Notamacropus eugenii: one gene and its partners. The main gene of each other region encodes a partner of the protein of the gene in region 2 in a complex. Links are inferred from orthologs where the notes say so. Each region holds a gene or a part of one and is shown on either strand. Other genes may lie near its edges. The genes, in order: NDUFAF1, ECSIT, TMEM186 and TMEM126B.

Region 1 (7,393 bases), on a different chromosome or scaffold from region 2:
AATAGGAAAGTCAATAAGAAGGAAGAGTACAGGATGACCCCAAGCTCAAACTTCAGAGTAGCGATATGATACAACACAAACTGAAGCAAGTAAGTTCCTGCCAGTGTGTCTCCCGATCTGCTAAGAATTATCCAAGTGCAACCCAAACCAAGTGTGGGAGTCTGGTGCAGGACAGCCCTAACCAATTCCCAGTCTGATAATTCCTCAGAAGATCCTGAAGATCTGGACTCCCTCTAAGAAGAGCCAGAGGTGGGCGGGTGGAGGGATCCTACTTTAAAGCTGAGTCAGGGGCCCACAAAACACATACTCAAATCTTCATCCACCTTTTCTAAAACCACCCTGGATACACTGGGCTTTTCTGATACTGGAATGATCTACTCTGGCCCAAATGACCAAGCTAGAAAATAAGGGCTAGTCAACTAGTAATTTGGGACTTTCTAAGAATGCTTTTAAGCTTTAAGAATGCTTTTTTCCCTTTAATTTCAGTGGTGTAAATGTGTCCCTCAGTATAAATTAGAGTCCTCTGCTCAGGATACTCTGTGTATTTCCCTCACCATAAATAAAAGCAATGTGCTACCATGGAGACTGCAGAGAAGGGGACTTCAGAGAGCCAAAGAGCTTGACTATCTCACCTACCCTTGGAATCCTGGATGTCAGTGCACAGTATCCACTTCGTTGAGTCTCCCCATCATGAGGAATTTCAGTATTGAGAATCCCATAGAAGAGTGCGCTTTGGTTATTGCTGGCCATTTTCAGGAAGGCTTTGCTTCTGCCTCCTATTGTCCTGTCCGATGTCACCAGCCACTTATTCAAATCTTCATCACTGCGAAACTGCCACATTACCCTAGTATTTTCCAGTAAAACTTGATGCAAAGGGCGACCTTCAGGTCCTATCCAACGGTCTACCACCTCCTTTGCTAAAAGTTTAAAATGGTCTTTTATCTCAGCCCTAATTGCTTTGTCAAAAATAATTTCAACCTTTTCCTTAGGTGAAATTAGGTCTAAACCAACCTCACCCTTAGTTTGTTTTTCCAATATGCCTTCAGTCTTTTCCTCAGGGGAAGATCTATCTGAAGCAGCCTCTGTTTTTTTAATACTACTGTACAGTCGGGAGGGAGAATCAGAAAATCCAGGCCCCAACAAAAAGCATCGTGCAGTATCTTGCATCCCGCATAATTTAGGAAAATGAATGCCATTTAGCAGCTTCTGAAGTAAAGCCATGGTAGAAGCAATTCAAATCATAAAATTCTCCAGAATTTACCAGGGAAAAGATTTTCAGCTACAAGTCCAGCTCTACCTGTAACAAGAGAAAAAATACAGAAGTTACCAAATTAGCAACAAACTTATCCTGTCTTTCAAATGTAACCAGACTCTGTAAAATGCAACACAGTAACCCACACCTTCCTGAGCCTAAGGTTAACTGGAAATCTTACAATCATCTTACTAAGTTCCATAAAACATAAAGAAAATTGGGGGTGAAGCCAAGATGGTTAGGTAGAAGGAAACAATGCAAGTGGGTTCCTGTTAGTCTCTCCAAACACATCTATAAAATGTACCGAACCAAATCCTGATGGAGAAGTTCAGAAAACGTCATAGCAAGTCCTTTGCCAGGCCCAGGTCTGCACAGGCAGACAGAGAGGTTGGCACGACACTAGCAGGAGGCCATATACCAGCACCAAAGGAAGTCCCAGACCCACAATGGGGCACAGAGATGGGGACAGGTGCCAGCTGGCAGTCTAGCTGCACACGGTCCAATCCCAGGGCGACGATCCAGGACAGAATATGAAGGGTATCTGTGCACAGTAGCGCTGTTTCCCAGGAGGGAGGCCCAGGGTGGTATCAAGAAAGAAATTCAGTGGAAATTGAGGGGAATGCCCATCCATTGGGGAAAGACTGAACAAGATGTGGTATATGAATGTAATGGAATACTACTATGCTATCAGAAATGATGAGCGGGAGGACTTCTGGAAAACCTGTAGGAACTGATGCTGAGCGAGGGGGGCAGAACCAGAGAACACTGCACCCAGTTACAGCCACACTGGGTGATGACCACCTTGGACAGACTCGGCTCTTCTCAGCAACACGAATTCATGTTTAATATGAATGTCTGCGTAGAACCTACATTAGACTGCATGCCCTCTTGGAGAGGGGGCAGAAAGGGAGGGGGAGAAATTCTGGAACTCAGAGGCTCGTGGAACTGAATGCTGTAAATTAAAAATAAATGGATTTTCTAAGAAGCCAGCACCAGCAGCAGTGTGGCCCGGCGTCTGGCCCTGCCTGCAGAAGAATAACCAGGGCAGAAACCAAAGGGAGGTCTACACTTCTGCCCCTGGGAACCCCCACAACCGTCCAGCTGGCTGACAGCGGGCTGCCCCGGCTCGGACCCGAGCCCAGAGCTCTGACCAGGGGAGCGCCCCGGGGGCACTGTCCCTGAGATCCTGGGATAACACAACCCTCCGCAACCCCAGCAAGCAGGAACACTACCAGCTCTGACCTCCCCTGCCCCATCAAGTCGGAAATAGGGGATCTGAAACTCCATTAATAAAAGTCCTGGGTTCGAATTCTGCCCCCGTCATTCCCTAGTTACCACCTCTGTGACCTTGAACACGCAACCCCAGGGGCCTCGGCGTGCTCACCCGTAAAACGAGGACGTAGGGCTGGAAGACTTCTGCGTCCCTTCCAGCCACAAATCTAGGATCCTCCGAAGAATGAAGGCCACTTCCGGGCAGTGGAGACCGGCAGGCCGCAGCTTAGCTACTCGTAAGGGACCGGGAGCCCTGACATCCCCTTCCCCCGCCCAGTCTGGGGTGCGGGGCTGACCCCTAACTCTCGCGAATCAGCCTCCTTCCGAGGCCGGAAGTCCGTGGTCCGACACCTATCGCGTTCCCCCTAAGACACCTCACATGACTCTCCTTCGCTTTGCGGGCGCAGCTCACCTTCCCTCTCGATCCTCTCCCGGCTTCAAAGAGTGACTTCCGCCCGCGCCTGCGTCCTACGCAGATTAGCGTCCGCCGCCGCACGCACTCCCAAGCATAAAGAGTTCCGCCTATTGGAGATGGATGACGCCCAATCACGTCAGAGCTGGGGGTTTTTTTTAATGCCCTGCTAGAAAGATTACGTAGGACGTCCCTCTAGACTTTAGAACCGCTAGGTGGCGCAGGAGATACAGCGTTGGACACGAAGCCAGACTGACCTGAGTTCAAGTTCAGAAGGAGACCCCCTGCTGGCAGAGCCAGTCAGGGCAAACCTGTATCTGCCTCAGTGTTCTCATCTGTAAAATGGGGATGACAGGAGCACCAGCCTTCGGGAGCATATTGAGACGATCCAATGAGGTAATCGTTGTAAAGACTTTGGCAAACGTTCAAGTGCTAATTATCGTTAAAGACAGTATTCCCATGACCGTTAAAGCCTAGACCACCCCTGTGGTCCTCCACGTGCTTCAGGTTTTCTTTGGCTTTCCTTTTCCAAACTGGATTCTCTCAATTTCAATCTTTTAACAAATTTTGTTTGTTTTATTTTATTCAATTTTATCTTTTTGAGTCAAAAAATCCAATTGGTGGGCTCTCCCCCACCAATTCCATTTCCATTTTAAAAAATATTTTATTGTCTAATCAGGCAAAACCCTCCTCATCCTCCCATTTTTTTGCCTTTTAGCATTATATTAAGTTTTACAGTTTTGGGGCAATAAGCCCCAATTCTTTGCTTCCTGGAATATTATATTTCAAGTTCTTTTCTCTCCTTTTAGTTGCGGCTGCTAGTGTGTGATTCTGACTGTAGCTCCCTGGTATTTGACTTCTTTCTATTCTGGCTGCTTACAGTATTTTTTTTTCCTTTGATTTGGAAACTCTGGATTCTGACTATGAGATCCCTGGAAGTTGTCATTGGGAGGTTTCAAGAGGTGACTGCTGGATTCTTAAGAGATCTGGACAGTTTTCTTTTCTTGACATAAGACATCTAGGCTTGTTTTTTTCTGGTCATTGTGTTCAGATTCTTAATTTTTTTCTCCTCAATCCGATTTCCAGGTCAGTTGTTTTTGCTATTTTTTTCAGTATTTTTATATTTTTTAAATATATTTTTTGTTACCTCATGAAGTTATTAGCTCCTATTTGGTCTATTTTAATTTTCAAGGAGTTTGTTGATTGGGTAAAGTTTGGAAACTGTTGTACCATGCTGTTCATTCTCTTTCCAATTCTTTCTTACATGGCTGTCATTTCTTTTCCAATTTTTTCCTCAAGCACTTTTTTTTAGCCTTTAAAAGAATGTTTTTGTTATGTTAACTGTGATACAAATTTACTCTTTTCTTAAAGGAGGATGCTATTTTTTCTTTTTGATTGATTTTTCTAATCCAATTATGTTTTATTTGTAGGTCCACATTCTCTCCTTTCCAGCTAACCTCCATCCACATTCAGAAAGCAAGAAAAGTGAGATGTTACAAGCAGTAGAATCAAAAAAAGCAAATTCCTGCATTGACCATGTCCAAAAAAAGTCTCATTCTATACTCAGAGTCCATCCCCTGGTCTGTCAGGAAGTAGGTAGGAAGCTAATTTTTTAAAGAGTTTATATGCATATTATTTATTTGTTTATTTTCCAGGTGTCACTAATTTTTAAAATTTGTTTACAGCTTTCTACAATCATTTCTATAAGTCTTAGATTTTCTCCCCCTCCTTCCCCACAATGGCGTGCAATCTTATATGGGTTCTACACATACATTCTTATTAAACATATTTTCACTTTAGTCATGTTGCATAAAAAAATTAAAATGAATGGGAGAAACCATGAGAAAAACTCAAACAAAACAAAACATAACACAAGAGAGAAGAGTCTGCTTCATTCTGCGATCCAATTCCATAGTTCTTTCTCTGGATGTGGAAGGCAAGTGCTTTGATTTCATCTATAAAAACATTTTTTAATTCTTTCTTCATCTCTTCCAGGAATTCTAGTTGATTTTTTGTCCAGTCTATGTTTTTCTCTGAAACTTTACTTGTATATGTTTTTAATTCATTCTCTTTTTCTGCATTTGTGCCTTGCACTTCTCTGCCCTCATAATAGTTCATTATGATGTGGTTCTGTTTTTTGTTTGTCCATTCTTACATCCTACTTCCTGGAGGGAAGGTCCAAGCTGTTCTTATTCCTGCTTTCTTAGGTTATTGAGGGTTGTCATATTCTAGGATCTCAGGGACAGGCTGGAGAGCTGAAAGCTTTCAGTGCTCCTGTGGTGTTCCCATCCAGGGCAGAGTCTGATTGCTGCTGCTCTGATCTGAGCTCTGCAAGTTCCTGACTTGGGTTTGGGTCCAAGCAAGAGCAGCCTGCTGCTGGATTCAGCCCTTATCAGTCAGCTGGACAATTGTGGTGGTTCACAGTGGCAGAATTGTAGGTTTCTCTTTTGATCTGGGATTTCTGCCCTGGTTATTCTTCTGCAGGCGGGGCTAGATGCTGGAATTGGGTCTCTACCCTGTTCCTGGAGGCTAAACCAGGGGAGGGGAACCTGTAGCCTTGAGGCCACATGTGGCCCTTTAGATCCTTAAGTGCAGCCCTTTGACTCCAAACTTCACAGAACACAGCACAAATCTCTTTTGTTTTATAGGACAAATGTGGCCTCAAGGCTGCAGGTTTCCCATCCCTGGTTTAAGCTGTACCTCGGTTGCTGCTGCTTACTTCTGAACTGAATAAACTTTCTTCTTTCTTGGCCCACTACTCAAACACCGCTTCCATATTCAGGCTAGATTTACGACTGTGAAAGCAAGTTCCCCAACATACACAGGACAGCCTGCTATCACAGGTTCTTAGATCTACATTTCTAAAAGAAAAGCAATTTTCAGGGGTTAACAATCATTTTAACCAAGCACATATTTATCATTCATTTAGTTCAGGGGAAAAAGTCAGCACTCTAAATTTCAGAGAAAATACAGAGAAATACAGATCAACAGACAGTGCTTCCAGCTGCCCTGGCATAAGCAATACATACTTCAGAGATCAATAGACTGTCTGACCATACAAAATAGTTACCAGAGAGAGAAGCACCAACATCTGGATTTTCAAAGTGGGGGAGCTCCTTAGCAGCTGCCCAGAGTCTCCTCTGGCCAAACAAAACACTTCCAATCAGTAAGCCCCAAGGTAAAACCTCACCTCAGAGTACTTATACCTTTCTCAGAGGCAGAGGGTATCACAACCCTTGAGAACCAGTGCCTCATTACAAAAGGTGTGGGCCTTCCTACAAATCTTCCCAGGTCCATTAATGGGTGGGGAAAATCTTCTTTAATCAATCAGAGGTACTTGATTATACTAAAGAAAAAACAGCAAAAGATCCTACTTTATTTGCCATTACAATAACTCAACTAGTAGTGGGCTACAAATCTGCTAGTGGGTAAGTTTCCCCATCACAGTGCCTCAGTATGAGTCTGACATCTCCCCTTCCCCAGTACATAGCTTTCTCTTGCATATTGGAGTGCTCTGTACTAGTATGTTCCTGTCCTACTTAAGCTCAGCACATCAGTGTTTGTAAACCTCTTTCTGTCTCTCTATGCAAAGCTGGGCTGGACAGATGACTCACTGAAACTTTTTCAGGATTTTCCCATCAGGATTTTGTCTGATCCATTTTGATATATATATGTAGAGAAGAGCTCAGCTTCATCAGTTCCTACCACTTGTCATCATGGCTTCATCCTTCAATTTAATGGATTCCTCCATTTCGATTTAACAAATATGTACTAAATGCCTATGTTTAGCAAAACAAACATTTTAGGTGACTGTATCTCCTCCTGTCATTATAATTTTTGCCTTAACTACCACTTGCCCTCAGACCTGGGTGGGTATAATCCAGGACCCTTTTGCCCAAAATCCCCGCCAATAGCAACACTCCCCAAACCACTCTCTCTTCTTCCAATCCAGACGTAGTCCAGGAAGCAACCCTTGTGGAGATGACACCCATCAATAGTCCTTGAAAATTCAGTGACATCTCTACCCCCACTTCCTCAAAAACCTGAACTACTCCTAAGATTTTTATCATTATTAGGGAGGTTAAAAGGAATTTACATAGACAGAGCATATGGGCGTAAGCTGGGAAGATCATGGGAATGAGCTTACAAAAACTGAAGGGGTGGGTGAAAAAGAGGGATGCAGTAGGAGAAGAGTGAATGGAGAGGTAGAATGGAGAAAATTTTCTCACAAAAAGAGAAGCTCAAGGAAGAGCTTTTACAAGGGAAGGGAAAATGAGAGGGAGGTAGGCAATGCTTGAACCTCTCATCAGAACTGGTTAAAAGAGGGAAGAACATATACATATACATATACATACACACACATGCACACACACACACACACACATACATATATACATTTGTATACATATACATCTATACATACATATATATATCCACTCAGTAGTATATAAAAATGT
Region 2 (6,921 bases):
GGTAGCTTGCCTATCCTACCTCCATCGGGTGGGGTTTCCTAGGGGGGACCTCATTCCTTTCCTAAAGGAGAGGCAGTAAACTACAGGTGAAAGATAACTGGAACTGGAGTTTAAAAATGAGATTTGCATTCTGGTTGTTATTTATAGATATAACCTTGAATTCTTAGCTCTCAACCTCTCTGGACTTCAGTTCCTTACTTGAATACTTGGTCCTGGGGTTTGTTATCTACAAAAGAGCCTAGCTGGCTCTGAAAAAACTCAAGCCTTCTCCTTCCTCTCCCCAATTTGTAATCCTGAGGCTCCAAAATCTTTCAATAGTATTGTCAAGGGAACTTCCATCTTCCCACTAACTTAAGTTCCCAACTGAAGCATTATCATTGACTCTACTTTCTCTCATATAACATATCCAAACCACTGCCAAATCTAACCAAGGATTCCCAGTACATCTACGGGCTCCTCCTTCTTTCCCACGATAGCCAACATCTGTATTAGGAAAAGGATTTTCTATCTTCAACACAAAGTTTTTTTTATGTTTGCTGAGGACATTTGTGTTCTTTTCCATTTATATTTTCAGATTTCCATTCCTAATTTTTCTCAGTCTCTCTGAGTACGGATGGCCTGAGAAACTGTTAAACATTCAACAGAACTTGCTGAAGGAAATGCTAGCCAGGAATGACACCAAAATTGAACGGCCACGTGAAGATTTATACTAAAGAGTCAGTTTTAGATGGAACTAAAGAAGGCAAGTGAATGGGGCACAACCAGAGGGAACCTGGTGCCTCCTCCTATCCCCCAACCTACTCAGGCCTGAAAAGAGGGAAACAGGATGAAAAACTGGAAGGGGTGATGGTTTTATACACTGTAAAACAATGATGTGGAGGTAGAGGACCTCTGAGAGAAGGCCAAGAGAGCTTAAATGGCTTATCCAAAGTTAGGCAAGTAGGTGATCTCTCTCCCTACCCCATCCCTTCTACCTGTAAAAGGCAGCTTCCTTCCAGCTGCCAAGGGCTGTGCCCTGGAGCAGCTCTGGAAAGGAAGGGGCGACCCACGGAGTGATCCCAGGCTAGGACAGCTCTCCGTACGCAGTTCATCCTGTTGCTGGCCATGGTCAGGAATTAATGGCAACCAGATGCCTACCTAATCCAAGGAAAGGATATGTGGTTAGCTGACCCAGAGAATGGCCTTGGAAACCTCCCTGTACACGTGCACATGCACATGTGTGCGTGTGCACATGCGTGCGTGTGCGTGCATGCATACACAAACACACCCCTCAGAATTATCCTCTTTCCCTCCTCAAATGCTCTTCTCTTCCAATATTTGATACTATTACAATGCCCAGGGTGTGTCCATCCTCTCACTAACCTAGGCTCCCAGCTTTAGAGTACTCCTTGATCCCACTCTCCTCCAACATATCCAATCCATTGCCAAATCTTATCACTTCTATACTTCACAGCCTCTCTCCCGTACATCCCTTTCTCCCCAATTACACAGCATTACATTAGTTCAGGTTCTTACAGTCTTAAGCCTAGACTATTACAATAACTTCCTAACTGGTGTTTGTTCCTAATTCAAGTCTTTCACAAACCCAATCCATCCTCTGTTTGATGGTCAAAGTGATCTTTTTAAAGAGAAGGCTGGACCTGGTCACATCTACATCCTCAACAGATTTCAGTAGCTTCCTATTACCTCCAGGATGAAATATTCAAAATTCTTCATAGGTTGGTGCCTTCCTGCCTTTCTAGTCTACCTCTCTGAGTGAATGTAAATATTAAATAGTAACTGTTTCTCTTTTACCCAGGAACCCTAAGGGTCTTCCCCCACTCTCTTTTTGTTTTTGTTTTGTTTTGTTTGTTATTAGAAAGGCCATCCCTGGAGTAACTACTTGAAGCCTATTCATTGAATGGGTATATCTCACTCAAAGTGAGAATGTGATAAGACCTTAGCCTAAAAGGGCCAGGGTCTCCCATTGCATCCTGGGCCATCTCCAGTCATCCTGATGAACATCAGACCCGGATGTCTCAGGAGAAGAAAGTGAGGCTGGTGACCTTGCACACAAAGTCAACTGCAAGTCATGTCATCTTGATGTCACGGTCCTCTTCCAGAACAAAGGACAAACACAACAACCACCTCTCTGACCCAACTACTTTGTACTCCTTACTGTTTCTCAATGAGGGTATTCTGGCTGCCTCCCAAACCTGGAATGCTGTTTTTCCTCACTCCAGCCTCTTAATTTCCCTGGCTTCCTTCAAGCTTCAGCTGAAAGCCCTCTTCTACACAAAGTCTTTCCCCTCTGAGATTCCCTCCCATGTACTCAGTAATGAGCTTCGGGTTGGCGCCCCCGCCATGCTCCATAACAGCAGAGGCTGTTTTTGCTTTTCTCGGCGTCCCCGTGGGCGTGCAGGGCCTAGCACACAACAAGCACTTCATACACGCTTGATGCCCGCCCGACACACCTCCACAACGCCGGGGCTAGCACAGAGCGGCTGGGGGACAGCTTCGAGCCTGCGCCGGCTGGGGCACGGGGTTCACGGGCTCAGCCTCCCCCGCCCCTCCCCCCACTCGCACCGCGCGCTTCCTGCCTAGCCTGGGGCCTGGGTTTGGGACGGGGCTTTGGAGGGCCACACATCCACATCCACATGCACACGACACAATACGCACGTATACTCACGCGTGGGCACTTTTCCTTCGCACACTTACACACACAAACACACGCCGCCCCACTCCTCCCTTTCCCAAACGAGATCCAAGGGGAAAAGGTCACCATGTCCGCAGACCTGTGGCAAAGCGCGCTCGGAGGCCGGGCCGGGATCCGGAGGCCGGCGTCCGGGCCGGTTCTCGAGCTACGCGACGGCGATTCCCAGCCACAGCGCTTCTCAGCAGTCTCCGGCTCTACTAGACGGTATGGCTGGGAGCAGCCATGTTGGTCTTCAGAGCTTCCGGGTCACAGGTCACGGGGCGCCCGGCAGAGAGCGACCGGATTTCTCAGAGGAAAAAAAAAAAAAAAAAAAAAAATCTTTCAAGATCAGGAGCCAATGGGAAGACGTCATTTAGATAGTCCCGCCCACCATTTTTGAAAACCCCGCCCCAGGTCCGCCTACCCAGGTCTAAGCAAGAAGGCCGTTTCCGGCGCAGGCTGCACTTGGAGGGGCTTCCACCGCGTGCGCATCTCTTGGCTTCTGCGCTCCTCGCGTCAGGCCCATTAGGCCTCAGTTTGCTCATCTGCGAAATGGGTAGAAATTGAGGCGGCTGCGTGGTGATAAGTGAGCATGAGCCCAGCGTCTTTCCGGTCCGTGGCTGCCAGGACTGATAGGGACCCAGCCCCGGTGCAGCCCTGATGGACAGACAGATCCGGGGAGAAACACTGGATGGAGGGTTTCCGCATTTCTCCGGGGCTCTCCGAGCCCCGCCCTCGGCCAGTTTACAGCTGAATCCCCGAGGCGTCCAAAGGAGTTGATATGTTTGGTAGGATGTAGAACCCCAAGTCACCTTAGACTCCAGTTGTGCGCCCTCTTTTTTTAGGGATAGGAGACAGCAGTAATCACAGATGTTGATGACAAAGAGGTCGTTTTTTTCCCCACCCAAACAACGACCTTATGAGCAAGTGCTACAGACATTATCCCTATTTTTCGGTTGTCCTTTCCATCCCTACATCTTCTTTTATATATGCTGTCTCCTTCCTCCTAGTTCAGGCTCCCATCTCCTCTACCCTGGAGGATCACAATAACTTTCCCTTTTTATTTCTCTACTTCAATCCTGGATTCCCTTCAATCCACACACACACACACACACAGACACACACACACCATTCAATAAACTCCAGTGGTTTTATGTTACCTCTGGGATCATTTTGGGTATTTCACAAAATTTCAGAATCTGAGAGTTGGAAGAGAAGTCAATGACCATCTAATCCAATTTATGTAATCCTTACATACCTTTCTAGTGGTCATCCATTCTCTGCTTGAAGACTGCCAGGGATAAGGAAAACACCACCTCTGTGGTACCCATTACTCTTTTATATAATCTTAATCATTAGAAAGTTTTCCTGACATCTAGTCTAAATTATCTTCTTTGTAACTTGCTTCTGGTTCTGTCCTCTGAGGATAAACCACACTAGTCCAATCTCTCCTCTGCATCCATCCTTTAAATACTGCTTGAACACAGAGAGTCAAGGATCGGAAGATGGTGCTGTCTTCAACAGTCATAGGGAAGTTAGGAGCAAGGGAGAGTTTAAGGTGAAAAATGATGAGTTTAGTTTTGGACTTTTGAGGCCCCCCAAACGATGAATTAATCACCGAATGGAGTACACTAAGTATAAAGGAATTTTCCTAAACCTTTATGAAAATGTGTGTGGACAAGCCTTTTTTATCATTTCGAAAGGATCCTGGGGCTTTGGCCATTTGATGAAAGGCAAATGATGCCGCACAGGAAACAGTATAGGCTTGCCTGAAATGATCAAATGTGCCTCTAGACCTACATACAAAATAGCAAACTACTTCCAAATTTCATAGACCTACTGCAAGCCAATAAGGGGGTAGAAAAGCCCTTGAGAACAAAGAACAAAGTAGATAATAGAACAAAGTAGAAAAGAGAACAAAATTGAAAAGTGTCTCTCTCTTTTTCCCACTTTCAGGCTACCAGGATCAGGGAGAGTTTGAGGTCCTATCAAAAGTTTCACCAGCACAGTACAAAAGAGCTGGATACACAGTTAAGTACAGGAGTCACAAGGTTACCTACTTTTAGGCTTGAGGTGGAGATACCTAGGCAGAGATGGTATAAGCAATACATGTTCTGGTACACCTGTAGACTGAAAGCTGATGCTTTTCCTTCCCTTGGCACCTGAGCAGAACTGGAGGAGAGAGTACCCACAACAATGGAGAAGTGGCCAGACCCAGCAGAAAAGTAACCTCAAGTGTCAGAGGCTTACCCAACAGCAAACTGGCTCAGCCTAGTAGCAGCTTGACCTTTCCAGAAGAGCCCTGCAAAAAGCCAGTCGTGTTGGTAAACTCAACCATCACTCAGACCATCCCCTGCTATGAATTTCATGATGGATCCATGAAGGGAGAAAGAACTTCTAGTAACCAGGTGCCTCACCACCACTGTGCTCTTAAGTTTGAGCTCACTTTCCCAAGGACCTTGTGTGTGCAAAGGGAGGGTGTGCCCTATTAGTCCATCTGAGGAAAATATTTTACCAACTGTTTTTACTATACCTTTTTAGTAAATATTCTTGCTAAATGTAATTGAGGATACTGGCTAAAAATAACCATGAAGCACACTGGTGGGGGCTCAGGATCAACTGTGTTAGAAACCCTAGGGCTTCTGATTCCCCCAGAACCTTTTGAGGCGTAGCACTAGCAGCTACCTTCTGAAGGACCAGACTTGTCAATTCAAGTGGGAGTTAGGCAAGTGGTCCCAGAGGAAGTGTTACATTTCAGAAATCACTAATAGAGGCTCAGCCATCACATGTGACAGTTCTTTCAGGACCCAGACATGTAGTTCATCTGGATCATCAGGTAACTTGAATTCACCAAGGGGAATTAAGGACTCTCTTTTGGCTTATTTGGGGGTATGAGCGCCTTACTAGCTATATTTGTTCTTCTGTATTGGGTGCAAAGGTTCTTCTTGGCAGAGAAAAGAGAAACACAATAATCTAAATATTGTAAACAGGTCCCTTCCAGCCTTTCCAGTCTTATTTTACATTACTTTACTCCGCTCTCTCTCTGAGACCATATTGGCCTACTTGATGTTCCTCCCACATAACCTCCATCTCCCATCTCCATATCTTTGTACTGGCTGTTTTACTCATGCCTAGAGTGCTCTCCCTTTTCACTTTTATGTCTTGGAATTCCTAGTTTCCTTCAAGATTCAACCATCATCTACATGAAGCTTTTCCTGGGCCCCCCAATTCTTAGTGCCTTCCTTTCACAAATTACCTTAGGTATATTGTATACTATATGTATGTATGTATGTATGTATATGCATGTATACATATGTTCATAGCTGTGTACCTACACACATGTTGAATCCCCTGTTAGAATGTAAGCTCTTTGCAGGCAGGCATTGATTCACTTTTGTCTTTGTATCGCCAGCACAGTGCCTGGCACATAGTAAGCATTCAATAAATGTCTGTTGAATGATTAATTCTGGAAACTGAAATTCAGTGGCAAAGGTGAGGCTTGAACCAGGATGGGAGTCAACAGTGGGGGGAGTTCTTACGCTCCTAGCCTAATACTCTTTCCACTTCACTTTCCTCCTCATCCCACAACCTTTGAGGGCCTCAAATCCTTTCAGCCTCTCAGATCCAAGGCTCAGCTTCCCCAATACTCCAGATGCCCCAGGCTAAAAAAGGATAGGAAGGGCCAGGCAGCTGGCAATGTCTGCCCCAGAAGCCTCTTGGGACCCTGAGGCTATTCCAGTTGGGCCAGCATCTTCAAGAAGAGTAGTCATGGGTACCCGGCAGGGAGCCAGAATTCCTGAGAGGGGGACGCCAAGGTCAGCACTGGGAGCTCCCTGGAGAGTCAAGGGTATCCCTGCTCCAGATGGTGAGAGGTGTGTCCTCCGATTTGGATTGGCTGGTATGGCGGCAGGGCAGGGCTCCCGGGTAATGCTTCTGCAGTCCCAGCTTTTGAATCCTGACGTGCTGGATGACCCTTCTGGTCCATCCCGCCCACAGCAGTGAGTCATCTGTTCCCGGAACCTATGCGGCCTCCCCTCCTCCCAACACCCCACCACTTACTTCATCTGTCTTCCCAACCCAATGCCCATCGGCTCAGGTTGTCCTGGCTCCTTCAATCTACACACCTAAAAATGCACCACTGGTACCCGCAGTCTTCCAACCACCAGCACCCCTCTCTCTGAAGCAGGGAGTTGTCTCCCAACATTTTCTAACATACCTCCATCCTAAGTTCCCACAGCCCCTCGTTC
Region 3 (7,163 bases), on a different chromosome or scaffold from region 2:
AACAAACAACTCAACTCTCACAGCTTTTATTATACTGCAATATTTACAGTGTAACATTATTTTAATCTCTGAAAGGTTAAAAAAAAATCACAATTGTGATGTTATGCAAACCTCTGATTTCCATCCCGTTTCTGAGGAGTGCACAAAGCTGCCTTTCTGAGGGGGATGAAATAGCCACGTTTTATATTAGTCATGTCTTCCTCAAGCATCTACCACATATTAGCAGAGTAATACTTTCTTTCTGATAAACTGAACGTCATTAACATGCCATTATGGTCATTATAATCAGCCAACAGCAGAACAAGGACCACTGTGTCCTGACAATTTTCTCTCCAAAAATCAAACTGCCTTTTCCAGAAAAAGAATGAAAGTGGAAAAATCAATTCCCACTGCACCACTAAAACCAGTTTCACAGTTCCACTGAGTACTCCCTTTTCAAAGTTCAGCAACTTGTTCTACCAGAAACTTAGGTCGGCTTCTAGTTCACTTATCTCTTGATTTTGAAAGACAAGTGCTTGGCACACAGTAGATCCCTGTTGTGTGCCACCAGACACTCAACTTTCTGGTCTCTTAACCTCCCTCTCTAGTTTAAGCCCTGGGAGATATGCTTGGTGCAGGTCCAGTACAGGCATACTTGAGGCTACCATTCAAAGCTCCAGGGAAAGCACATTCCCCTAAGGTCCAGGTTTTCTTCCAAACCATCAGTGTTTTCCATCAAGTTTCCCAAACACTTGCACAAATCGTTTCCTATCCAGGATGTGTCCAAAACGCAATGTTAAGTAGAAGGTCTGATCACTATTGTACTGCTGGATCTTCAAGAACACATCAAAGGCACGTTCACTGGTCTCAGATACAGGAATTATGTCGGCCACCGGACAATATGTGTCTTGACGCCGGCCCCAGAAGGTCAGGTGTGCCACGCGCAACACAGTGCCAGCCTCGTTCACATAAAGGATTCCAACAAGCCGACGAAAGAAATGACTAATCCAGTACAACATGGCTAGGGCAAAGCTAGCAACACCTCCTGTGAAAGACAGGGAGTCCAGGGGAATGAAGCCCTGCATGTACCAATAACAGGACAGTGGCAATATTACCATAGTAATCCCTGTCTGCAGAATCTTCACCCGGGACAGTGATCCACAGAATCTGATGCCAGGAAAGCGATAAATCATCTGGAATTTTTCAGCCTCTATGGTTGATGGTTTATCAGGGGATGTGGAGACAGGCCTGCCCACATACAAACTGGGAACTTGCATCTTGCAAAACCAAGGCCTTGACTGCAACATCACTACCCAACGAATTGGGAAACCAGCTTTGAAGATGGTAACCTGGAAGGGAAAAGAATGACCTCTCACAAATCCCAATACATAGTAACAGGGAAGTCAAATCCTTGCCCTCAGGGGTATATAGCATATACACAAGGAAGTAGATACAAAGATTAATAATAATACAGATAATATGAATTTCCCAGGCTAACAACCCAGATGTTAATCTCAACTCCTCACTCTCACCTCCCATAACCCGTAAATTGTCCATTTCTGTTGATTCCACCTTGCTCGCAGCTCACATTTGCCCCGTTATCTCCTCTGACAAGGTCAACACTCTGGTGTAGATTACCACATGCTACTGAGCCTACGGCCTGCTAGCTGGTCTCCCTGCCTCAAGTCTCTCCCCACCCCAGTTCATCCTCCACTCACGTATCAGTGATCTTCTTAAGGCCCAGGGCTAACCTCATCACTTCAAAACTTGGCCCCATACTCTGTGATCCAGTGACTCTGGTGTCCTCAAACTAAACACTAGAAATTCCTTCCTTCCTTGTCTATTTTTAAGTCCCAGCTAAAATCTGACCTGTCCACGCCCCCCAGTCTACAGGAAGCTTTTCCTAATTCTTCTTAATTCTAGTGCCTTTCCTCTGCCATTTTCAATTTATCCTGTGTATAACGTTTATACACAGTTGTTTCCATTTTCTTTCTCCTATTAGAGCATGCGCTCCTTGAGGGCAGGGACTATTTTTTTGGGAGGGGGGGATTGGCTAATCTCGTGCACAGCCATTACTCTCAGACTGATCTGATGCAGAAGGCATTAATAAGTAGGCTGGAAGGGATTACTGGAATCCCTTATTAGATGATTTCTGACATGACCCTTGAAGGAAGCGAAAGAGTCTAAAAGAAGCAGAGGTGAGGAAAGAAGAGCGTTTTAGGCATTGTTACCCAAAGACGTCACTCTAATGATATTATCTAATGATTAATTTCCTGCAGTCCATGCAGAGTTCCATCAAGAAGGCCTGTTGGGCCGCAACGTCCCAAACCCAGGTAAGGGAGGGCAGAGTGCTTATCTGGGGCGCCGCGAGGGGCAGGGGTAGTGGGGTAGGTCAAAGAACAGCCCAGTTAAGGGGCGCCGAGGGCCCGAGGGCTGCAGCCTTCAGGGCGGGTCTGCAGCACCAGGAACCACGGGGGCTTCGGGACTAGACTGGGATAAAAGACCTCGAACGGGAAGGCGAGCGGAGGACGGGGCCCGTAGCCCGGCCCTCTTTAAGGACCTACGTGTCCTGTACGTGGCTACTTTGTATACATTTCTGGTACGCTGGGTGAGCTCTGGGAGGACCGGAACTGTCTCAGGCCTCAGCACAACAGCCCATGGTAGGGGCCTAATAAATGGTTATGGAAGGTACTCCATTGAACTGACTTCACGACGTCACGAGGTGACACGGGGCCTTAGGCCTGAGGTTTTGCCCTTGCCCGCAGACGAGGGGGGGGGAGGGGTTTCTTCCCGCCTACGGAAGATGGGGTAATTAGGTTCGGACTCCCGCTAGTGGATCTCTCCCACTTGCCTACACTCGGAAACCCAGCTGCTCACCATGGTACCGCCGCCCGCTTCCGGAAGCGAACCTGCTCCGTCCTCCGGAACTACTTGGCTCCGCGGCGTGCGTGTCCTGACCTCTATGGGTCGTAGCTCAGGGAGGGATGGGATATATTGGGGGCTTTGCATTCTGGGAGTTGTAGTTCCGCGGGTCGTCGTGCGCTCTAGAAGAGGTTTAGAGGTGCGACTTGGCAGCCTCTGATCTTTCACCTTCCCGACGTGCCCCGCGGCTCGTGAGGCAAATCCGGGAAGCTTGGAGCGCCAGCGCGTCCCGTCGTGCTGGTGAGCCGAGGTGTCGGGATGGCGGCTTCGGCGTCTGTCCTCTGCCTCTTCGACGTCGACGGGACCCTCACCGCCCCACGACAGGCAAGCAGAGCCCGAGCCCGCCCCCTGCGGCCGCCTGCTTCTCGGAGCCTCTGTTTCCCCGTGTGCGGCGGAGGGGGAGAAGAAGGGGGAGGGGAAGAGGCCCGGCGCCTCGGGGCAGGGAACGGGAGGGGCCGGTAACCCGTGGGGTCCTAGCGCTTGGGAGCACCCGTGATCCGGACCGACCAGTCACCTCGTTTTACTGACGAAGACACTGAGGCCCAACCTCACCTGGCTAATAGGCAGCATTGCCGGCATTCGAACCCCTAGCCCCGGGCTCCGGATCCCAGACGGCTTCGGCTCCCCGTGGCCTGTGTGTAGCACGGGCGGCCTCCACACCTCGCTCTCCCTTTGGAGAAGGGCTCCGACCCGGTCTGGGTGGTGGCTCTGGGGGCGTGATTGTGCCGCCGCTGACCAGGCGCCCGCTGCGGACCTGGGGAGGTAGGGTGGTGGTGGCTGGCACTTAGAGAGCGCTTTACAGGTGTGCGCTGTTTCCTGTCGCGGCTCGAGGCCACCCTGTTCTGTGGGTGCAGTGGTTATCTCACTTTACAGATGGGGATGCTGAGGCAGAGAGGTCTGCCTAGCTAACGTGCGTGTGCCCAAGAAGACCCCACCATCAGAGGAAGGATGACAGGACTCGCACTTGACCTTGTTCTGAGTGAGGGAGGGCTGTGCAGGGCACCAGCCTCACTGCTCCTCCAGAGCCATCTGGATCCAGTGACCAGAGATTCATCCAGTGACTGGAGATGACCCAGGATGAGGCAGTTGGGGTTAAGTGACTTGCCCAAGGTCGCACAGGTAGTGAGTGTCAAGTGTCTGAGGTGAGATTTGAACTCAGGGCCTCCTGCACTGCACCACCTGGCTGCCCCTGCATAGCTAATAATGCCTCCATCAAGCACTAACTTCACGCAGTAATGAAGAATTCTAATTCCTCAATTATGTGTGGCAGTAATTTAATAGGACAAGATAATTTATAATTTAATAGCACAAGATAAGACCATGCACAACTAAGTGTGCTGTAAGAAAGAATGTAGTTAAGTGCAAAGGAGAAATCCAGACCAAAAGAAAATTTTTTTAATTGAGAACGAGATTACTGTCAACTGGGGGGATAATCGGCAAAGGTGTCTTAGAGAATGTCTAAGTTCTCTTGACGTTCTTCAAGAAATGGAGTTGGTATGTGAAGAGAATCTCTTCCAGGCATGGAGTCTGAGCAAACAAGGCAAAAACTCCTGAATAGAACTGAGCAAAGTCACTGTTATTGGAAAGTACATGTTAGTATAGAGGGTGAGGTGGGTAGATAGATAAGGCATTTGGGATGTAAAGATCCCTGCCGTCAAGGTTCATGCATTTTATTTGGGGAACAGCATGTACGCGTACATTCATGTACATTCATGTACCGATGAATATAAAACATATACAGAATAACTTAGTGGAAGACAGGGTGCAGAATGTGGAGCACTAATTAGGAAAATCAGAAAATATCTCTTGTGGAAAGTGTCACTTGAGTAGAGACTTGAAACGAGCTAGGCTTCCAAGAGGCAGAAATAAGGAAAGAGAGCATTGTACACACAGGGGAGTCCGTGCAGTGGCAGAGTTGGGAGACAGAATGTCTTGTTCACGGAACCAGATTGGGAAAATCCCTAAGTGCTAGAGAGGTTTTTTTTCCCTAGAGAGCCCTTGAAGTTTCTTGAATAGAGATGGTGATATGGTCAGGCATGTGCTTTAGACTTACAGTTTGGCACCTGTGTGAAGGACGTAGCAGAAAGTCTAAATGCAGTGGAACCAACTAGGAAGTTATTGCAATAATCCTGGGGACAGATGATGAAGACCTAAGTTGTTACGGTTTAAGTTGAGAGAAGGTGGGAACAGGAGGCTTAAAAGTAGAAACAAGCATTGACAACTGATTGGATATGGGAATGGAAACCATGTGAGGAGTGTTGAAAACCTGTCAGATAAGGAAGAGTAAAAGAATTGGTATATAACTGAGAGATCCCAGTTTAGATCAGCCAACATCAGATTGTGGTAGACCCAGTCATCCAGGTTGTAACTTCCTTGTAGTACTTGGACAGGAATGGAGGAAGTAATCCACGGCTGGGGTTTAGAAAGGATTGAGCAGCAATAATAAAGAGATTCCAGGTTAGAGGACAGTGTAAAGATGAACTGATAAAATAAGACTTTTGAAGGGAGAAAAGTAAGACCAGACAAGATTGATGACCTGGGAGAGCAGGAAGTGTTGAGGTCTGAGGGGTGCTGGGAACCCCAAAGGACCAACATGCCAGGGCCTGCTCGAATGAATTCGACACAAGCCAAAGAAAAACAAAGTTTATTAAATATTCGCCATATTGGTTGACTTTTAAGGAGCCTGAGCATTTGTAACTCTTGTATTCACAAGTAGGCCGGATAGACAGAGTCTGAACTGGATTGAATCTGAGTGCCTTCATGGAGGCAAGATGGAACTTAAATACAAAAAAAGACTGTAGGAGGGATCTGGAAGTGGTCTGTTGGTCTATCTAGGGTGATGGGAGGAGGGGGTTTAGAGAGGGTCTTGAGGAGAAGTCCTAGGAGCATCTCAGTGGGACTGGGGTGACTAGTCAAGGGTTAAAAACAGCTGAAGGCAATCAGGAGATATCAGGCTTTGGAGGGCTTGGGTGGGAAGCAAGTGGGGCAATCCAGAGGTGACAGACAATGGAAGGCCCAGGCTAGGCCCAGGACAACAGATTTGAATATGAAAGGCCAGATTAAGTGGGAAAATTCCAGGGAGTTCAGGGAGGTTCCAGAGTCTGAACCCCATAAGAAGGGGTGAAATGATTAGAGGTTACACTGAGGATAGAGTATAAGTTTAGAAGGGGGAAGGAAGACACATAGGAGGTTGTGGTCAGAGAGTGCAATCTGAAAGTTACAGATTGGGAAGGTGGATGATAATGAGATCAGGAGCTTTTGAGACTTCATCAGTATGTAAACTGAAGCCCCCAAATATAAGGGCAGAAGTTGGAGTGGAGAGGAAAGTTACCCATCAGGTGCTTTAAGAATTTGCTCTTCTCTCGGCCCATGTCAAAGACGGATAAATTAACTTTTCAACCAAACAACTCTTTATGAGTTAGAGAGGGTTCCTTGAAGTCTCCATTGGTCAGAGGAGTAGTAAGAATCATGGCTCAGTGAAGTATTGAAAATTGAGGGCAGGGCAGTCAGGGAGTAATTGGATTAGTAAATATCTACATAGGACAGCATTATCCAGAGCTCCAAAATTTCCTCAAGAGATACATGGTACATTGTGAACCAGGGACTGCAATGGACTGGACATAAGTCTGTGCTCACTTGAACTCTACACCTGCCATTCATTTACTCTCCTTCATTCAGTTTTCTAGGACAGGTATTATTCTCATTATTTGGGTAAGGAAACTAAAGCACCGAATGACTAGGTAACTTCTCCAGTCATTCATTTAATGCAGATCTGTCTGAAACAGGACCCTGGGTCTCATAAGCCATTGATACTTTTACATTAGCAGAACATTTAATGAGCCCCTTCTGTTGCACCTGCAGAATAATAATACTGTATTATACTAATGTGGAGAGGCCTGAAATACAAAGGAAATGTAAGTTATAGGTACTTGAGTAGACTACCTCTTTTGTACCTTAAATATTTTCCTCATACACAAGCACAGGTCACTTTTTTTGATGGGGAGGAGGGTGAAATTTGCATGTTAGAGTGGTTAAGGTCAGAAGAAAAGACTTTGCACCTTAATTTCCAGTTACTTGGAATTGGCTTCCTGGAGGATAGTGTGGGAGAGGGAGCTTGAAAACTTGAAATTGAAGCAGGATATACCATTGAAAGAAACACTTATGGTTGATGATATGAATTATAGTAATTATTAGCAATAGAACTGTTTTCCCCCTTACAACAACCCCATGAGTTAGGGAGAATTAACTTTATTTTTCAGTAA
Region 4 (7,003 bases), on a different chromosome or scaffold from region 2:
TAAAATTACTAGTAACCTCTTACTTACCCAATCTAAAGGCCTTTTATTTATATTTTTTTGGTTGTGAGGATCAGATGAGATCATATTTGAAAAATGTTTTGTAAACTTTAAAGCACCCTATAAATGATGACAATTATTATTAGTTTAACCTAAGATCAAAGCAACATTCCTGGCTGCCATGTCAAGTGCTGAATGCCATTGTTTTTTTATTTATTTAAAAAAATTTTTTCCCTCCAAATTTATTTGTTTTCAATTTTCAACAATCACTTCCATAAGCGATAATAATCATAATTTTCTCCCCTTCCCTCCCTAATGACCTCTTCTTAATCCTCATCTTTCTTAACCTCTTTGCAGCCTCTCATCACCTTCTTCTCCATGATAATCTTTTCCTTCTGGGTTTTCGTGACACTTGTCTCCTGGTTTTCCTCCTACCTGTCCAACTGCTCCTTCTCCAGCTCCTTTGCTGGATCTTTATTCAGATCATGCCCACTAACCATGAGAATACTTCAAGGCTCTATCTTGGGCCCTTTTCTCTTCTTTCTCTATACTATTTTGCTTGGGGTATCTCATCAAATCCCATGGATTTAATGATCATTTCTATGCAGATGATTTTCAGATCTATTTATCCAGTCTTAAACTTTCTCCTGACCTTCAGTCTCACATCTTCTGGATATCTTAAAGTCCTAAAACTCAACGTGTCCTGAACACTCCCCAAGCCCCGCCCTCTTCAGAACTTTCCTTTTATTGTCAAGGGCACCACCATGCTCCCAGTCATCCAGGCTCTAAACCTATATGTCATCCTTGATTTCACACTTTCTATTATCGTTCCACATCTAATTTGTTGCCACGTCCTGTCGATCCTACCTTTAACATCTCACCTCTCTCCTCTGATAGTCACCCCTCTGGTACAGGCCTTTATCTCTTCCTACCTGGAATTACTGAAAGCCAGTCAATAAACATTTACTAAGTTTCAGGCACCGTTCTAAGCACTAGAGATACAGAAAAATACAACAGACAGTTCCTGCCTTTGAAGACCTCACAGTCTAATAGAGAGACAGCTCACAATCTAATGGGAAGATACAACAACTATGTACCAACTTTGTACAGGATAAACGGAATAATAAACAGAGGGAAGGCACTAGCACTAAAAACGTGTGGGAACTTACTTTTTTGGGGTGGGGGGAGTTGGCTGTCACAGGGGCACCACTGGCTATAATGTATAACATGCAGCTCAAAGTGCTTTGTGCCTTAATAAGATGATTTATTGTCCTCATTTTACAGAGGATCTTTTCTTCCTTCTTTTTCTCTCTCTCTAGTTCACACAGAGTATCACACCCTTACGTGCAGGTGCTCTGCCCAAAGGGAATGTAAATTTTAATCTCTGAATTTTTTTTTTCTTCTAGAAGACCAGTCTTAACCCCAAATCACTTAGGCTCTCATAGACTGGCCAACAATAGGTCCCAGGCCAAGCCCTACTTGGTCACAGCCCTGACTGACTCAGAATGAATGTAAGTAGCAATTATTTTTATTTTGGATGGAAACCCTAAGGGTCTTCCCCTCCCAGATCTGTTTTTTTTAAAGTAGTTATTCTTTGCCAAATTTTTTATTAAGCCTTAATCACTGAATGGACATTGCCTCAGTCAAACTGAGACCAGTTAAAGACCTTGGCTGGAAAAGGCCCCCACTGCATCCAGGGCCACCTCCAGCTGTCCTGACCTACATCTGGCTCCTGGACTGAGATGGTTCTAGAGAAGAAAGCGAGGCTGGTGACTTTGCACAGCTCTCCCTCACTTAAATCCAATTCACTTGCATATCACGGCATCACCTCTTGACGTCACGGTCCTCTTCCAGAACCAAGCAGCAACAGTGGATGAAACTGAAGCTCAGAAAAGGGGCTTGCCAGCTGAATACAAGATCAGCATTTCAACCTGGGTCTTCTGACTATAAAACCAGGAGACTTTCTATTATACCAGACTTGCCCGAATTTAACAGTTACACAAGAGAATCACAGTCTCACCGTTAGAGGGAACTTCTGCAGTCACCTAGTCAAATTTGCCTTTGTAAAAAAAAATTCAATTTAGTTTTCCCAACTTCTATCACAACTACTACAAACATTTATATCAGGCATTCTGTGTGCCGGCTCCTGCTAAGCACTTTACAATTATTATCTCATCTGGTCCTCATAACAACTCTGGGTCCTCATAACAACCATTATCCCCCCCCCCTTTTTTTTTTTTTTTACAGATGAGTAAACTGAGGTAACGGGCTAAATAACTCGCCCAGAGCCCCAGTGAGGAGATGTCTGCAGCTGACTCCTGCTTTCTAAAATACAGTCTCCTCCATCGCTTCCCTGACAGATGGTCACCCAGTTGTCTGCTACGTGGATGTGGACGGAGGGCCCGGGGCTTGCAGGCAGGGAGCTAAGTTCGAATCCTGCCCAAAGGCACTTCCGGGAGGTTTGCCCCTAGATACGTCACTATTTCTCTGGGCCTCAGTGTCCCCATCTGTAAAGTAAGGAAAGTGGGCTCCATGACCTCTAGGACCCTTCCACTCCACATTTAGGATGCTCTGATGAGGGATGCAGAATTTTCCTTCTAGGAGAGCAGCTTATCAAACACGGTTCTAAGCCCGAGGGGCCTGTCACGTGCCCTGCATCGGTCCCGGGGTGGCCTGAGAGGAAACAAGCCCCCTCGGAGCCTCGACTTCCCCCACTAGAGATAAGGACGCGTTCGCACGGCCTACCCCACAGACCAGCTCGGAGGGCTGGGCCAGGCTTACGGTCGGACCCCCACGACTGCGGCGGCTTGCCCACGCCGACACCTCTGCTACGTCTCCACGCGCAGCCCGCTCACCGAGAGTCCCGCCGCTCACACCTGGGCGCCGCCATCTTGCGCGCTCACATGACCCACAGTGGCCCCCGTCCCTCCCGAGCTCTGGCCCCAGGCCCCGCCTCTTACCCCAGCCCCAGCACGAGGGGGAGGGAGGCCCGCCCACTACGGTCAAATGCCGCGCCCTCTCTTCCGATTCCCATTGGTCTCCGCTGCCCCGGAACCGGGGCCGTTCATTGGTCTGTGGGAGAAGCCGGGCGGGTCGCTCCCGCCCACCTGGCGTTGGCCGGGCAACCACTCCGCTCTCTTCTCCCCCTCCCTTTTTCAGGACGAGCCCGCCCCTCCTCCCTCAGCCCCCACCTGCCTTCAGGCCTGGGTCCCCCCTTTGGCTGTCGTGGACCCGAGCGGACCGGGGTCTCGCGTCTCCCCAACCCGGATGCAACCCCATCTCGAGCCCTCCTATGTCAGCCGAGCCCCTGCCTGCTCCCCCCTGCCCCACAAAGGAAGTGGCTTGGTGGGGGGCGATGACAGACCCCAGCCCGTCCGGGAGGCTCTCCCATCCCCCCGCGCCCCAGTGGGGGACCCCCGGGGCGTAGTCGTGCACCCCCCCGCCCCAGGCATCCTAGCCAACGTAGCCCCAGCGGAGCCCGCACCTCCTTCCATCTTCCAGAAGCCCCTAACGCGAGTTACATAACTGCTGCTCCTGCCGCCTCTCCTTGCTCCTCTCAGACAAGGCAGGGGTGTGGGCACCGGGGCTGGGGCACGGTGTGTGTGTGTGGCGGCCAAACGGCCCCCCAAAAGGTCTCTCCCCCTTTGTGCCAGGGGCTACGGTGCGGGTAGGGCTGGGGGCACGGAGCGGGCAGAGTGCCGGGCTGGCGCTGCCGAGATCTCCGAGGCAGCCCGGGGAAGGTCCGGGTGGTGGAGGTGGTGGTGGTGTTTCCTTTGGAGAAAGGGGGTCTTGTGTTTTTCCTCACCCCAGGCAGCTGCTTGGATGAGAGGAGATGGCATGATGTGAATGGCTCCAGGGTGAGGAAGGCTGCGCCGCCAACTCACACTGCACCCAGTGCCCACTGAGAGCGCTGCCACTTTAACGTCTCCATGCCAGAGCGGCGCTTTCCTGCTCCCTCGCTTAATACATGGGAGGATCAGAGTGGCATTCATTAGAGAACAAGCCTGGGTAGCTCGGGCAGCAGAGAAGGGGAAAAAGGAAAGGGACTGGACCTGGATGCTGTCTGATCTGAGGGAGCGAGATCGGAAACTTCTTATTCCCTGAATAGAAATCGGCCTTTCGGTCCCGGGGGCACATCTCAAACTCACCCAACCTTTTCAGAAATCAGAGGCAAAGAACTTTGCTTTTTAAAAAAAGTTTTTCTTTTTTTTTTCCTGAAAAGTTCTCCTCCGTAGAACTGGGCATCTTTTATCATTAAATCTGGATGGCTTTGAAGTTGGTTTTGTAGAGTAGTGAGAGTTGTTTAAATTTGGGTTGTGCCTTGAGTCATTAAACTTACACCAAATTTGCTGCCTGAAGAGGAATTCTAATAATGTTTTCTATACCAACAATAATGTTCTCAGTTTTTTTATAGATTAAGAAATATTTTATAAGAATTGAAAGACAATTTTGTGAAACTCCAGTCTTTTTTTTTCCCTTCTAAATTCTGTGGGAGGTGTTAAAAGTTTAATTGTGGAAAAAATATTCAACATTACTTCATATCTTGGTGAAAATGAAGACTGAGCTTGGATTTCAAGACTGAGCGGCCGAAGTACTTTGCCACAGCCACCTAGCTCTTGGCTTCAGCCCAGTTGGATAAAGTTGATACCTAAACAAGTCCTTGAATCCAGTGACTGCAGAGAGATCCAAGAATGCCAGTCAAGAAGAAAGGTGGGCTATGAAGCTTCCTATCTAATATTTGTATCTTCTGTTTTGTTTGGTTCTGGTACTTGTCATTTAAATTGTTTTGCATTTGAGAAGGAAACTCTTGCTTCAGTTGGGGCAGCTCTCTATTTATTATGGTAACACATGGTTAGTGTCACACTCTACAATGCTGTTACCAAAATGAAGTTGTGCTAAAATAAGTAGTTAGTTGTGATTTCATCCCTTAGACAATCTGCAGGCATTATTTGTAATAAATAGATTCAATGCTAAAATTTCACTTTTTCTAGCAATGTCTTTGGTATTACTCATGAATGTAATATAATTAAACTAAATAGCTTGTAAACTACAACAGTAAAGTTGTATATTTGTGTTGGTACAGAATAAAATGGTAGATTTGCAGTATATCTTTTATTTTCTAAGCAAAAACAGACAACTTTTACATTTGGGTTCACTCCAGTATAAATTTTCAATTAGAAAATGTGACTGAGCATATCATTGGCAAGTGATGAAGTTTTAAGTTGGACTCATCAGTTCCATGCGTTAGGAAGTTCCTAAGTAGGAATTTTCTCATCTTTCATCCCCTAAATTCTAGTCTGATCCTGAATACGTGTTGGATTGGGTGAGATTTGGTGTTCTACTTCACTGTGGAGCACAATGCTTGGCACACAGTAAACTTCGCCTAGTAAATGCTTGTTGACTGACTGCCTGGGAGGAGATTTGGGGTTGATGCAGTGGACAGAGCACTGAACCTGGAGTTGGGAAGACCTGAGTTCAAATACAGCCTCAGACGTTTTCTAGTTGTATGACCTTGGGAAAGCCACTTAACCTCTGGTCTGTCTCAGTTTCCTTATCTGTAAAATATGGATAATAATGGCACCTACCTCCCAGGGTTGTTGTGAGGATCAAATGAGACTATTTATAAAGTCCTTTGTTATGTAAATGCTGGTTATTATTACTCTGCTATGATCTGGTCTGTTATAAGTATGTTTTCAGAAATTCTGAATCAAACAATAAATGAACATCCAACGGCTAAAAGCATCATTCATGCTGGTCAACATGCATACAAATACAACAATATGGGCAAGTCATTTGACTTGCTGTATTTTGACACCTGTAATATTATGGTTTAATTCTGGGCCCAAATTGATTATGTGTCCAAGAGAATTGCTCCAAAGGTTCAACCTGGCTCTGTATTCTGCGTAAGTCGAAGGACTAGGGGAGAGCTAGATCAGTTCTAGAACCTTTTAAAAATAGTCACCTGAAAGGCAATGTATGCTCCCAAGAGAGCCCCCGATTTGACCCTTTCTTATCAAGGTTTTAGATTGGGAGATGCCCTGAAAGTGGTTCAGATTTCTTAGGATAACCAGTAGATTTTAGGTGACCCATGGGAACCTCATACCATATCCACCATAAATCTAACCTAAAGAACGAATCTGCCTGGAAACCAGACAGGCTTTGGTATTATAATTAATTATCCTTTTGGATTTTTGAGTCCTACTTTCAATTTTACTCTTCTTACTCCTTTGTCTTTCCCCCATCTATTATATTTGTGTCCTTATTTCCCTGTTCTTAAAAAGTTAGCGACTGTACAAAGAATAATAGATATTACTTGCATGTTAATGAGGAGCCAAGAAGAGAAGAGTGGCAAGTTGAAGTAGGTACAATGGTCTAGGAAAAACAGGTTAGCTAAAAAAAAAATGAGTTTAATGTTTAAAAATTACTCAGGTTTTGAGTTTGTGTAAAGTTATTTTCTTCTTAAGAACAGGTTTATAGATAGCTAATAAACATATATGAAAGTTGTTCATACATCCTAAGAAAGTTGAATGTTTTAGTTTTTATTTTTCTTGAAACAAATGGTTGATTCTAAAATGCATCAATGTTTTTTAGGGAATCAAAGTTTGTATTAACATATTGCATCAAATATGTATTTGATTATTGCTTAAGGCATGATGGACCATGTAATTCACATTCTGAAATGGCTTATTTGGAGACATTTATTATGTTCATGTGTTTTTAAGTGTTCATGATATTGACATACTTTTCAACATTAAAGACTACTATCCAAACACTTCATTGCATCATTGAATCATTGGATCTTGTATTCCAAAGGGATCTTAGAGGTCATCTAAGCTAATCTCACACTCAGGCTAGAACTTTCTTTACAGTATCCTGGAAATGTATTCCTGTAGTTTGTGTTTAAACACTGCCAACCTATATTCCTTCTTGGAAAAATCTAATTGTTATATAGTTCTTCCTTGTTATTGAACCTAAATCTCCTTCCCTGTAACTTCCACCCAGTGAT

The links.
Region 1: ECSIT (region 2) and NDUFAF1 share a complex: the UniProt entries of both Homo sapiens proteins name them as parts of the mitochondrial complex. The link is inferred for Notamacropus eugenii from reciprocal best matches to the Homo sapiens genes ECSIT and NDUFAF1.
Region 3: ECSIT (region 2) and TMEM186 share a complex: the UniProt entries of both Homo sapiens proteins name them as parts of the mitochondrial complex. The link is inferred for Notamacropus eugenii from reciprocal best matches to the Homo sapiens genes ECSIT and TMEM186.
Region 4: ECSIT (region 2) and TMEM126B share a complex: the UniProt entries of both Homo sapiens proteins name them as parts of the mitochondrial complex. The link is inferred for Notamacropus eugenii from reciprocal best matches to the Homo sapiens genes ECSIT and TMEM126B.

The regions. Positions count from the first base shown.
Region 1 is NC_092878.1:27,496,357-27,503,749, forward strand, and holds the start of NDUFAF1 (complex I intermediate-associated protein 30, mitochondrial), read right to left. Parts: upstream 3,007-7,393; 5' UTR 2,637-3,006; intron 1,298-2,636; 5' UTR 1,222-1,297; coding exon 637-1,221; intron 1-636. UniProt on the Homo sapiens protein: As part of the MCIA complex, involved in the assembly of the mitochondrial complex I.
Region 2 is NC_092875.1:78,405,668-78,412,588, reverse strand, and holds the start of ECSIT (evolutionarily conserved signaling intermediate in Toll pathway, mitochondrial), read right to left. Parts: upstream 3,013-6,921; 5' UTR 2,775-3,012; intron 1,138-2,774; 5' UTR 1,107-1,137; coding exon 975-1,106; intron 1-974.
Region 3 is NC_092872.1:87,410,446-87,417,608, forward strand, and holds TMEM186 (transmembrane protein 186), read right to left. Parts: upstream 3,012-7,163; 5' UTR 2,989-3,011; coding exon 2,857-2,988; intron 1,329-2,856; coding exon 702-1,328; 3' UTR 11-701; downstream 1-10. Other genes in the region: PMM2 (phosphomannomutase 2), read left to right, coding at 3,160-3,225. UniProt on the Homo sapiens protein: As part of the MCIA complex, required for efficient assembly of the mitochondrial complex I.
Region 4 is NC_092876.1:115,835,795-115,842,797, forward strand, and holds the start of TMEM126B (complex I assembly factor TMEM126B, mitochondrial), read right to left. Parts: upstream 3,003-7,003; 5' UTR 2,743-3,002; intron 1-2,742. UniProt on the Homo sapiens protein: As part of the MCIA complex, involved in the assembly of the mitochondrial complex I. Participates in constructing the membrane arm of complex I.